2 linked regions of the Drosophila melanogaster genome follow. The protein of the gene in region 1 interacts with the protein of each later gene in a pairwise test. Each region holds a gene or a part of one and is shown in the gene's direction. Other genes may lie near its edges. The genes, in order: seq and RecQ4.

Evidence for each region.
Region 2: the proteins of seq (region 1) and RecQ4 interact in a two-hybrid assay, tested with the Drosophila melanogaster proteins (one large-scale study listed by BioGRID).

The regions. Positions count from the first base shown.
Region 1 is NT_033778.4:13,186,922-13,192,163, reverse strand, and holds the start of seq (sequoia), read left to right. Parts: upstream 1-2,077; 5' UTR 2,078-2,603; intron 2,604-2,910; exon of another isoform or gene 2,911-3,076; intron 3,077-4,255; exon of another isoform or gene 4,256-4,338; coding exon of another isoform or gene 4,339-4,770; intron 4,771-4,844; coding exon of another isoform or gene 4,845-5,183; intron 5,184-5,241; coding exon of another isoform or gene 5,242-5,242. Other genes in the region: Kdm4B (lysine demethylase 4B), read left to right, coding at 4,339-4,770, 4,845-5,183, 5,242-5,242.
Region 2 is NT_037436.4:8,170,031-8,177,691, reverse strand, and holds RecQ4 (RecQ4 helicase), read left to right. Parts: upstream 1-1,713; 5' UTR 1,714-1,835; coding exon 1,836-1,937; intron 1,938-1,990; coding exon 1,991-5,160; intron 5,161-5,223; coding exon 5,224-5,964; intron 5,965-6,026; coding exon 6,027-6,202; intron 6,203-6,261; coding exon 6,262-6,578; intron 6,579-6,639; coding exon 6,640-6,873; 3' UTR 6,874-7,052; downstream 7,053-7,661. Other genes in the region: Nmt (N-myristoyl transferase), read left to right, coding at 53-1,266.

The DNA.
Region 1 (5,242 bases):
AGCAGCTACAACTACAACAAGAACAACAACAACAACGACGAGCGGCAGGAACAAGCATAGAAAAAAGCATAAATAATCTTGTAGCTGTTGTCGCAGCTGAGGCGAAGCCGAGCTCGAATTGAAATTTTGTGAGAAATTGTGCTGAAGAGAAATGCCTTGTGAAATCACACGAGGCACAGGACGAATGTGTGTGCGTGCGTGTGTGTGTTTGTAAAATGGAATATAAAATGACAGGCGGAGTGGTTTGGTGTTGGAGGGGGGCGCGGTGGGAATGTGGAAAAAGGGGACGCGCATTATGGCGGTTCTCCGTGTGTTCTTCATCGACGACGTCATCGGCAGTTGTTGTTGTTGTTGTTGTTGTTGCTGCTACTGCTGTTGGTTCCTGTTTTCGCTTTTTACCGTTCAGTCAATGACCACATTGTGTACACAACTGCACTGTTAGTATGTGTGTGTGTGAGCCATTCCTGCCGGAAGTTGAAGCCGCCGCCTGGTCATTCTCGCTGCTTGGCTGCAAGCTCTCTCTCTTTCGTCCTTTTCCGCTCGTCCTCTCTCTGTTTCTCTCTATCTCTCTCCTGCTCTCTCTCTGTGGGTTATGCCTGAGTTGCTTTGGACAAGTTTTGAGGACAGGATCCTTGGACACCCCGCCACTTTTTGTTTCTTTCGTTTCAAGTCCTGCCGAGCAGTGTGACCGTTCTTTTGTGCTCTGGTCACGCTTTGATCCTGCCGTTAGCCGCTCCCCCAAGCTCCATTTTCCCATAGGCGTCGCCGGGCTAATGACATGTTGTAAATTATACTACCACGGGGCATTCCTTTCACCGTTTCAAGCTGCTGTAATTACTCAGCCCGGTTTCCTTTTTTTGTTCCTCTCCTTCACTCCCCGTCCTGTTTTATTATTTTGCGTCGGTTTTTGTATGGGTTTTCTGCACACAGGATGCAAGAAACCTTGTTATCGAAACGCTATCACATAATTGCTCGATGCAGTTGCAGATGTGCTTATTTGTATTCGCTAAGCGCATATGCCATTAAATTGAACATTATAGGGGATTTACTAAATTATGCTTTTGCGCTTGGGGGAAATTAATGTCCTTAACAGTTGCAACAATATGACATTTTCTTATTAACGAAATTATTGAGAAATATAGTTGAGGGCGTTATGATTTAAAAGATATAATGCGATCGGCTTGGAAATTATAATTCTATTTAAATGGTACTAATTCTGCAAACGGAGTTCACAGGATCAAGCTTAAATGTGTAATACATTTAAAATGGAAAATCTATCGAAAACACTATATAAAAAGCATTAGATTGAAATTGGCTAGCATAAAAGTAAACAAACAATTATTCCAAACGAGCCATTGCTCTGAACGCTATTTGTTGGTTTTGCAATTATTATACAAATATGCAATTATTAAGTACGAGACACACGAAGCCGTCTCAAGTGAGAGAGTCCTTGCGACCCGTCTCAAGTGGATCCTCAACCTCTAGCCTCTGTATCTGTCGTTTACCTACAAACGATCACTGGCGATCCGGGATCAGTAAAGTCCTAGATTAGATCTTCGCCAAAATCCGAAATCCGTGCCAGGACAATGCATAATGAGGATTAAGTCCTTTGCGATTTCTCTGACTGCTTACTGAGATGCAGAGAAAGAGAGAGAATGTGCGAATGGATTCACGATTCGCGATGGCGAATGCATTTTTCCTTTCGCCACATTTGCTTTTCGCAATGAAACTAAAGAGGAGGAAAAAGGCATTGTTCGATCCACGAATGAATAGAGGAAAAAGGAGGAGCGATTAAAACTGCCAGTTTTCCACACGGCTTGCATTTCCCTATCCACAATTATCCTGTCAAACTTGTTTGCGCCGTCTCCCTCTTGCTCTACACCAATTTTCCTTTCGCATTATGCTTTGACCAGAGCATTCGCATTAAAAGGACAACGCTCTTGTGCGGCGCGACTGTGTGTGCGTGAGCGTGTCTGTGTTGCGTGCTTGCTGTGTGTGTGAGTGCGAGTGCGAGTGCGAGCGAAGAGCGAGTTCTTTCGACGCCTGCGTCGCCATCGTCCTGGCATCGAACTGGCGTTCAGTCGACGCTTGCCACTCAGACCGCTCAGACATGTCGCGCCCGTCGTGAGTGCCAGTTAGCCATCCACATTAATATACATATATATAAATTAACATCCTCGAAGAGAGAGAGCAGCAGCCATCAAGTCGAAGACTGTGTAAAACGCAAAACAACGACGCCATCAGATGTTGCAGGATAACATAAAATAATACCAAAGCTAAATCATTCTACAAGAATTGCAAAACCCAGAAAATAGTGCTCAAGTGTATCGTATAAAACATCAAATTGTGCAAATTAGTTACAGTTAGTTAAAACGCCAGCAGAAGTTTCATATGCAAATACACAAAAAATAATGTGCAATAAACTACAAATCACTTCAAACAAAGGCAACGCAGCAGCATCCAAAACGTTAGTCACATCCAGTTGGAGTTGCTCATATAGTCATAAAAGTACTTTTGACATTTTGTTGGGATTTACGCATGGAGAACACCGAATAAACTAGAGAAGCAGAACTAAAAAAAAAACCCATCAAAGCACATCACAAGTGAGTTCCAAATTTCGTCCTTTCACAAACACACTCACATATTCGTAAACACACATACACACATGCATACGCACTCGCTGCATTGCGACTCGCCCATGTCGAATCTCCTCTGTAGCGAGTATATCCTGCCCGCTCACTCGCTCTTCCCACCATATTTGCTCTCTCCTTGTTAACTAGCATATAGTTTTGCGCACTCGTCAGCTCCCCCCTCTCAGTTATCCCGTTACCCCTCCCCTTCCCCAACATCGTCGGCTCTCCGCTCTCGTTCGGTTTTGGTCTTCTCGCTCTCTGAAATTCTCGGGTGGTGGTACAGTTTTCTACGTGGTCGAAAAATTGCGTAAATTTTCATCTAGTGCTCTGGGATGTCTCGCACAGCGTTGTCCTCGTTATCGTTATCCTTGCTGTTCCTCTGGCCTGCAGAGCTTTCAGTCTGCTTGTACGGAAAATAGGAAAAACAAACGGAAAAACAATTGGTATTGGTATTGACTGGGAAAAAGATGTCGCCGGATTTGTGTCATTTGCTTATTGGGCGTTTTCAATCCCTATAAATGGCTTGCCGCGGGAATAACGGTTCGTCATGGGGCTCAATAATTAATTATCCCCTTCATCTTGATTTATTGTGTTTTTTTTTGGGAGGCTTATCGTATACAGAAATACACACAGAGAAATTTTTCAATCACGCATGACTTGTACTTTTGTTTTATTTTACGTTTTACACTCATCAATCATTTTATTTGGGATCTATAAAATGTAAACAAAATAGTTTTGCGAACTAGTCTTAAATAAATTTTAGTTCAATAATTTTGTATGCTAATTGTAACTATTAATTAAGTGATAGTGTGAAGACAAAGCGTCAATATTAGTAAAATTATTTTTTAAGTTATCCTAATCCTGCGGGGATCGTTTAAATATATTTCGTATGTTTACTTACATAGGAGTTTTAATTTTAATTAGTTTTTTAAATTTCGAATACCTGAATTTTACAACTTTTTGGCAAAGTTGTTTACATTTATCACAATCATCGATATATTATCAGCATAATTCAATTGTAATTTATAGCATAACTAAATCATTTAATATTTAATCGAAATAATTTTGTGGTAAGAAATGAATCGAATTTACCATTTTCAGGCAACATACATAATTTCCATATTACCGCTTATTCCTTTAACTCCCAATTTTTCAGCCGGTTGTGCATGAAATCTGATATACTTATTTAATTTACAACATTTCCTCGTAGTTAGTAAGGTTATCAAACGAACGATCATTGCACTTTTTATGGGTTCCTATGGGTTATTGCGGGTCCGGCTGGCCCATGAGGAAAACCACTCGAATGAAAGGGGCGGGGGAAACGGCAACTGCATATCCTGCCAGCCTCTATTCTCCTGCCAGTCGTCCTGCCTGCCTGCCTGCTGTTGTAGCTGCCGCGCCCATTAAAAAAAAAAAAGAAAACCTCGAAAAGTTGCAGCTGTTCCCTCAGCGCTCCTTCTCTGTTTGTTTTGTGACTGCCAGCCAGAATGCCGATCCCAAGCGATCCGATCGCTGAGCGCTTAGCGATGGGGCAGGCAGACGGGCTGATCATGAATGGCATCTGCCCGGGATTAATGGGCCGTGCACGGGAGTACGGAGTTTTAATGCTGCTTCTATCACAGTTCCAGATCGAAGCACCCTAGCTGTGAAAGAAGTGTCCGACAACAGGTCGGAATTGAAAAAAAAGAGAAAAACTGAGACGAGAATGAAAATGTCAGAGGTGCCACGCATCAAGGTCTTCCGACCCACCTGGGAGGAGTTCAAGGACTTTCCCAAGTACGTGGCCTACATGGAGTCCCAGGGTGCCCACAAAGCCGGTTTGGCCAAGGTGGTGCCTCCGCCGGAATGGGTGCCCCGTCGCAGTGGGTACGCCGATCTCGATGCTCTAAATGTCACAATTCCGGCGCCCATTTGCCAGGTGGTAACCGGCAAACAGGGATACTACCAGCAGATTAACATCCAGAAAAAGCCACTCACAGTTAAGCAGTTTAGCGAGTTGGCCAGCACCGAGCGTTACGCCACACCCAAACACTTTGACTTTGAGGATCTGGAGCGCAAATACTGGAAGAACATAACATATGTGGCGCCCATTTATGGGGCAGATGTCAGCGGAAGTATCACAGACACAGACCAGGATGTAAGTTCGTTAGGGTTAGGGTTTAGGTTTGGGCATTAGCTGATGATTCGTTGCCTTTGCCTTTGCCGTTGCAGAGCTGGAACATCAACCGGCTGGGCACAATTCTTGACTATGTCAACAAGGATTATAACATCCAGATAGACGGCGTGAACACAGCCTACTTGTACTTTGGCATGTGGAAGACGACCTTTGCATGGCACACGGAGGACATGGATCTCTATTCCATCAATTACTTACACTTTGGGGCGCCAAAGACGTGGTATGTGGTGCCGCCGGAGTGTGGTCGCAAATTGGAGAAGGTGGCCAACCAGTACTTTCCGGCCAGTTACAAGAATTGCAACGCATATTTGCGCCACAAGATGACGTTGATTTCACCACAGATTCTCAAGCAACATGACGTGCCCGTCAGTAAGGTGCGTTTATCGGTAGTAATCCTGTCCATAGTGGCCGTACTAAATCCGGCTCTTGCAGA
Region 2 (7,661 bases), on another chromosome or scaffold:
AACTAATCGAAAAATGTTATAATACTATTCAACGCATCATCGTTTCTTTCAGGCAAACAGGCCTTGCTACAAGCCGTTTCCGATGCTATGGCCAGCACCCGTCAGATGGCCAAGAAGTTTGCATTTTGGTCCACACAGCCAGTCACCAAGCTGGACGAGCAGGTGACCACCAACGAATGCATTGAACCGAACAAGGAAATTAGTGAGATTAGAGCATTGCCATACACTCTGCCAGGCGGCTTCAAATGGGTGACACTAGACCTGAACGACGCCAATGATCTCAAGGAGCTGTACACGCTGCTCAATGAGAACTATGTGGAGGACGATGATGCCATGTTCCGTTTCGATTACCAACCCGAGTTTCTAAAGTGGTCGCTGCAGCCACCTGGCTGGAAACGCGATTGGCATGTTGGCGTTCGTGTGGAGAAGTCCGGCAAACTGGTTGGCTTCATCTCAGCCATTCCCAGCAAGCTGAAGTCGTACGACAAGGTGCTAAAGGTTGTGGACATCAACTTCCTATGCGTCCACAAGAAGTTGCGCAGCAAACGGGTGGCTCCAGTCCTGATTCGGGAGATAACGCGTCGCGTCAATCTGACGGGGATTTTCCAGGCGGCCTATACAGCTGGAGTTGTGTTGCCCACGCCAGTGGCCACCTGTCGCTATTGGCATCGATCGCTCAATCCCAAGAAGCTGGTAGACGTGCGTTTCTCTCATCTCGCACGTAACATGACCATGCAGCGGACAATGAAGCTGTACAAGCTACCCGATCAGCCCAAGACGAAGGGCTATCGCCGAATCACAGCGAAGGACATGGACAAGGCCCACAAGCTGCTGGAGGACTACCTAAAGCGCTTTCAGCTGAGCCCGGTGTTCAGCAAGGAAGAGTTTCGTCATTGGTTTACCCCCAAAGAAGGTATTATCGATTGCTTCGTGGTTGCCGACGAAAAGGGCAACATCACTGATCTGACTAGCTACTACTGCCTGCCATCGTCCGTGATGCACCATCCGGTGCATAAGACGGTTCGTGCCGCATATTCGTTCTATAATGTGTCTACAAAGACCCCGTGGCTGGACCTGATGAACGATGCACTGATCTCGGCCCGCAATGTCCAGATGGACGTGTACAATGCCCTCGACCTCATGGAGAACAAGAAGTACTTTGCACCGCTAAAATTCGGCGCCGGGGATGGAAACCTGCAGTACTACCTCTACAATTGGCGCTGTCCATCGATGCAGCCGGAGGAGATTGCTCTGATACTCATGTAGTCACCTTGTCACCTAAGCTCACATTCTCGCCCTGCCTTTCACAGCTCCCCTCCTCCGCTTTCTTCACCCTGCTGGAAGTGCCGTGCGGCTGCTTTGCTTTGCTCCTATTTACGTAGCTATTACCTGTAATCTTCAGTTATTCCAGCGAGGAAAGCCCTTTGCGAGCATACACCTAAATAGCATCATTGTGAAAATTGCATTTTGCAACGGCCAAGCTTCGATATTTTTTACTACAAGAACGAACACAAATTGTATAAAATGCGCAGCAATATCAATAAAAATGTAACGTTTACTTGGACCTTTATTGCCTATAATTGACAATAAATTATTTTGCTGCTCTTTTAAAGATGACAAGTTTTTATTTTTTTTAAGCAGATTATTGTATTTTTGCCCACTGTCCCAGCATGTGATAGTCTGGCCACTCTGTCACATGGCCATTGGTCTGGCAAGGTCGGTGAAAAAGCGCGCGCTAAGCAAAACAGCTGCACTTGTGTTGGTTTATTAGTTAACGAAATCTGATTCCAATGTTGGTTTCCTCATAATATTGACAATTAAAGACAGCCGCCGACATGGACGATTCGGTGTTCAAGCTAAAATACCAAAAGTACAAGTTGCGCGTCAAGGTGTGGGAGAAGGACTTCAAGAAGAAGAATGGCCGTGTTCCATCGAAGGTGAGATTGGGATGCGGATATGACAAGTATGCTAACTGGTTGACCTGTTGCAGTATGATATAAGGGACGCCAGTCAGGAGATTCGGGACTCATACAAAATGTACTACAAACTGAAGACATCCTTCCTGGAAGAGACGCTGAACGATGTTCTCAGCGAAGATGGATACGATATTCTGGAGATGTCGCAGGCCAGTGATTTCGGTGTGAGCATGCTGGACCAGGACGTCAGTCTTAATGAAGGTCCTCAGCTACCGTTGGATATATCTGCACTGGTGGGGCCGCAGAGCTCTGGTAATCTTGAGGAAATTCCACAATCGGTGGAGGGCTCATTCTCAAATCTCATCGACCTGCCCAATCGTCAAGTACTCACCAATCTGGTCAATCGCGATGAAAACCATGTCATTCGCAAATTCGAGGCGGTGGAGGAGCTGCCAATCAACCAAAATGCCTGGGGCTTGAATGTGAGTAAGAAGCCACCAGCTCCACCACAGCCTGTAGAGGCCTCCAAATCCGCTCCGGGGCACGGAAAGCAACCCAAAGCGGGCGCTAGTCTTAAGCCCAGCTTGAGTGCCAAGTTATTCCAATCCTCACGCGGTTTTGCTAAACGAAATCCCCGAAAGCCGCTTTCACGTTGTGTCAGTTCCTCTAGTTCCACCACATCACTTAGCTCAGTTCCTACTGATCATCACGAGGAACTGCTCGACTTTGAGACCATACTCATACGCAAAGCCCAGGAGTACAAGGAGAAGCAGCAGGCCATAGCTAACAATCCAATGCTGGCCAGTGAGCACAGCAAGGAAAGTATCAAAACACTGGTGGACGACGGCTGGCTCCGGCGAAATACAAAGGAAAACACTCTTGATGAAGAAGTGCCCTTTGCGGAAGCAAATAATAACAGTGGTACGTCCAAGAAAACAAACTTTGGCCTGGCCAATCTTGATTTAAGTAAACTAAAGCCCACTGTTAAGGAGGAAAAAGTGTTGCAGGCCAAGCCCGATCAAATGGCAATCATACAGGAGCTGCAAACAGATATGAATTCTAGCATGAACCAGAAACCAGATCATCTTAATCACACACCTCCTGCATCCAGTCAAAAATCAGTCGCTCCTAAAAATAAACCTCCACCTTCCGAGCAGGAAACCGATTCGGATTCCGACTCTGTTGTGGCTGAGAGTGAAGAAGAGCAGGAACCACAAGAATATCGGCAACTATCAAAACGTCGCAAAATTGTTTCAACAGCATCAGGAAAAGTGGAAGTAGCCGCCCCAGTTGAAATTCCCAACAAAGTCGAACCAGAGACAGAAACATTTGCTCAAGAGAATCCAGATTTCTCTGCAGATGAAGACCAGGATGCTACATATGTACCAGAGAATAAAAAGAAAGATAAGGCAAAGCGCAAGCAAGCCGCCGGAAAACAAAAGACCACTAAGCCCAAAGCGGAACCAAAACCGAAAACAGAAAAGAAAGCCAAAGTCAAGGCCGAAAAGAAACCCAAGGCGGAGAAAAAGCCGAGGAACTCTAAAAAAGCCATCGCTGTCGAGCCGGCTCCTGATCCAGAAGAGGATGAGCGCCAACCATTGAATCCAGAAGATTTGAAATACGTGTTGGCCTTGGAGGCGGGAGATATTACCTCCGTTCCGCGCATTAATGTGCAGGATCTAGAAGAAGCGGATGCTACCGCCCAGCGCTATATTAGAACCTTCGCCGCTGGACCCAACCCAGGATTGTCGGAAGGGTCCAACATTCGAGTGGATGAAAAGAGAGCCGCAGCACGAAAGAAGCTGGAGGAACGCATAGCAGCTGGTAAATTAAACGAGAACTTTGTGACCATAAATATTCAAAAGAAAAAATTCGTGCGTGGCAAAAAGTCCGTGAACTTCAGCAAGTACAAGAAGCAACAGTGGCGGCATAAGAAACGAGTGGCTGCCTTGAGTGGGCCGGACATGGATATGGGTGGCTGTGATGGCGGAGTGCTCACGTGCTTCCAGTGCGGCGGAGTCGGGCATTTCGCTCAGCAGTGCAAGGTGAAGGGAGACAGCTTGTTGCCACTTTCGGCACAGCTGGAAGAGGATCCCTCGCCGTTTCCCACGCTTGCCGAGGCTCAGGAGATGGCCAGTCAGGGAGCAGTGGTGGCACACAGTCGCAACATCTCACGGCTGCCCCAAGCGGCCAATGCAGCCATCCTGCAAGGCGATGAGTTGAACGAGTCAGAGGAAGATGACCAAGAAAGCAGCGGAGATGAGGAGGTACAGCAGCATCCAGATCCAAATTGGTCTAGCGATGAAATGGACGTTGATTTCGAGGCCCTAGATGCGGCCGTCGAAGCTTCCCTAAGCCAACCGGTTTCGCAAGAGAAAGCAGCTTCACCTATTAAGACATACGTCGGCCACAAGATTCCCGAGGAGTTCCTCAAGCAGGCTGGACTGGACACCACAGCCTCTAGTTCGAATCGCAGCCAGCACGGTGGGGTGAAGCCCCTATACGATCTCCTTCCGGATGGCAGTGTCCAGGACACGACGCCAGAGGTCCTAGAGGCACTCCACATGTTCGGGCACACCAACTTCAGGAAAGGTCAAGATCGCGCCATCATGCGCACTCTCTCTGGACTATCATCGCTAGTTACACTTAGCACGGGCAGCGGCAAATCTTTGTGCTACCAATTGCCCGCCTATTTGTATAGCCGGAAAGTGGGAGCTATTACCCTAGTCATCTCACCATTGGTGTCACTTATGGAGGATCAGGTGACCGGGGTGCCGCACTTTCTGCGAGCTCACTGCCTGCACACTAATCAGACCGCGCCGCAGCGTATGAAGATTCAGCAGATGATTGCCAATGGGGAGATTGACATTCTTCTTGTCTCTCCGGAGGCGGTTGTCGCCGGGGAACGAGCCACAGGATTTGGAGCCATTCTTCGCCAGCTGCCGCCCATTGCATTCGCTTGTATTGATGAGGCGCATTGCGTGTCTCAGTGGAGTCACAACTTTCGACCCAGCTACCTAATGATCTGCAAGGTGCTGAGAAAGAATCTCGGTGTACGCACAGTGCTGGGGCTAACAGCCACGGCAACTTTGCCAACGCGTGTTAGCATTATAAATCACCTTGGCATATCGGATGGAGAACGTGGTATTATAAGCGACATCCCACTGCCTGACAATCTAGTGCTGTCCGTCTCCAAGGATGAGAACCGGGATGCAGCTCTGCTCCAACTGCTCAATAGCGAACGGTAAGACTTGGCCCACCATCTTTGAAACTTGAAGGAGACTTAAATACATTTTGATCATTCTAGCTTCGAGCCCTGCCAGTCCATTATTATCTATTGTACGCGTCGTGACGAGTGTGAGCGTATCGCTGGGTTTATTAGAACGTGCGTGCAAGACCGTAGGGAGCCAACTCAGGATCAGACGAAAAAACGTAAACGTGTGAATTGGCAGGCTGAGCCCTATCACGCTGGAATGCCCGCTTCCAGGCGACGAACCGTTCAGAAGGCCTTCATGAGCAATGAGCTGCGCATTGTGGTGGCCACCATTGCCTTTGGTATGGGCATCAATAAGCCGGACATACGCGCGGTAATCCATTATAATATGCCAAGAAACTTTGAGAGCTATGTGCAGGAAATTGGTCGAGCAGGACGCGACGGGTTGCCTTCCCACTGTCACCTCTTCTTGGATGCGAAGGGTGGCGACCAGAGTGAGCTGCGTCGCCATGTGTATTCTAACTCCATTGATCGGCATGTTATCCGTAAGCTGCTGCAAAAGATCTTTGTGCCATGTAGCTGTGACAAGGAGGCTTCCAAGAGGACAGCTCTTCCGATTCCCCTTGAAGGTGATGGTCCTAGAGTGCATATGTGTCCGGGACACGAGATTGGCTTTTCCGTGGAGAAAACCGTTGAGATGCTGGACATCCCGGCGGAGAACATATCTACTTTGCTCTGCTACATGGAGCTTGATCCCCGATGGTGCATCAGTGTGCTCAGCTCAGCATATGTGATGGCTAAGGTAATCTCGTATGGTGGGCCAAAGTACTTGAAGTAAGTCCTTTAGACACGTGTATTGTGTATGTGTTTAATGTTATTGGTTTTTCCTTGCACAGGCATGCTGCAAAGGAATGTCCACCATTGGCCATGGCTATTGCTTTGCAGATTAGAGATAAGACATTCAAGGAGGACTCTAACATCATAGAATTCTCGGTCACAGATATCGCGGCAGGAATTGGCTGGAACAGTGGTGTGGTCAAATACCAACTGAAGGATCTGGAGTGGGTAAAAGGTGAGATGGTAATCCGTTCAAAAAAGGATCCGTTTAATTAGAAATTAATTTTTCGATAGTAAATGGATATCCCAAGCGATCGCCCATCACGGTGAGCTTCTATGATTTGGGATTCCGCATCAAGGTGCCGGGCGATTTTACCGAATCAGAGATCGACAACGCTCTGGACACTCTCTATACGCGATCCGTGAAACAGGAGCGTACGCAGCTCATCCAGCTGCAATATGTGGCCCATGGATTGGCTGCTGTGGCCTACAGCTCTTGTGGCCAGTGCTGCAATGCGGATTTTCCGCAGGATCGGGGCGAGCAGCTAAAGGCTATCGTGCGCAACTACTTTGCCAATGACTACCCACAGGATCTGGAGCTGGAAATAGAGGTAATTGCTTGGCAACACATTTCAATTTCTTACTTTTATTGCTTTCCTCTCTGTCCATTAGCCAAGTAACGTGCCGGATGAGAACATCATAGACGACGTTCATGCTCTAATAAACATGTACCCGGACAATACATTTACCGGACGTAATATTGCGCGCATCTTTCATGGCATCATGAGCCCGAACTATCCGGCTGTCATCTGGGGACGCTGTAAGTTCTGGCGTGCCCACGTCAAAGTGGATTTCAATCGCATCCTGCACCTGGCCAATATGGCTATTATCAAGAGGCGTACGTGACCGTAATGTCGGGATGAACCGCCGATACCATGGTTAACCAATTAATAGCTCCAAGAATTTTAAAAATATGTGATGCCATTCAATAACATTTTACTCGCACAAGTCTGATAATACAAAAATAAATTACAAATTCTATATAAACAGCTTTTGTACTTATTATGAGTGGAAAGAGAAATTCGTACGGACAATCTAAATTTTTAGCTTGGTTTTTAAACTCTCTAAATCTATGTGTTTCATTAGCTAATAAATTTGCACCATACAATCCCACGCCAATGGAACAATAACAATTTATGATAATTTCATTGCCGAAAACAACAGAGCACTAAAATAAAGTAAACAAATGCCAAGCTCGTTTAGAGGCAAATTGCAGCTACGGCTTCAAATGAAACAGCAGAAATCAATTCGATGGAGCCCGTAAAGAAACAAACATCCGGCTGAGTCATTCCCAATAACATCACGAAATGTATAACCCCGGTCGAAGGTGTCATCTTCAAATCGAAGCCTAGCCAAAGGTCGTCCTTCCTCAGTTCACACGAACGCGAAGCAAACAACCCAACAAATGGGGGGATCTAACAACAACTCAGGGCACAGACAACTGGAAACAGAGAAACATCATTGAAGTTGTCGGATCAGCGAAGCGTTTGATAAAGGTTTTTTATGACTTGGCCATTTTGTGAGGCCTTTGGCTTCTCGTGCCGATGTTGTTTATAATCATAAACGAGACTCGAGTACACAAAAGTCGACCCAATTACAACTTGTTTGTTCTGAGAGTGAGACGTCAACGTCAT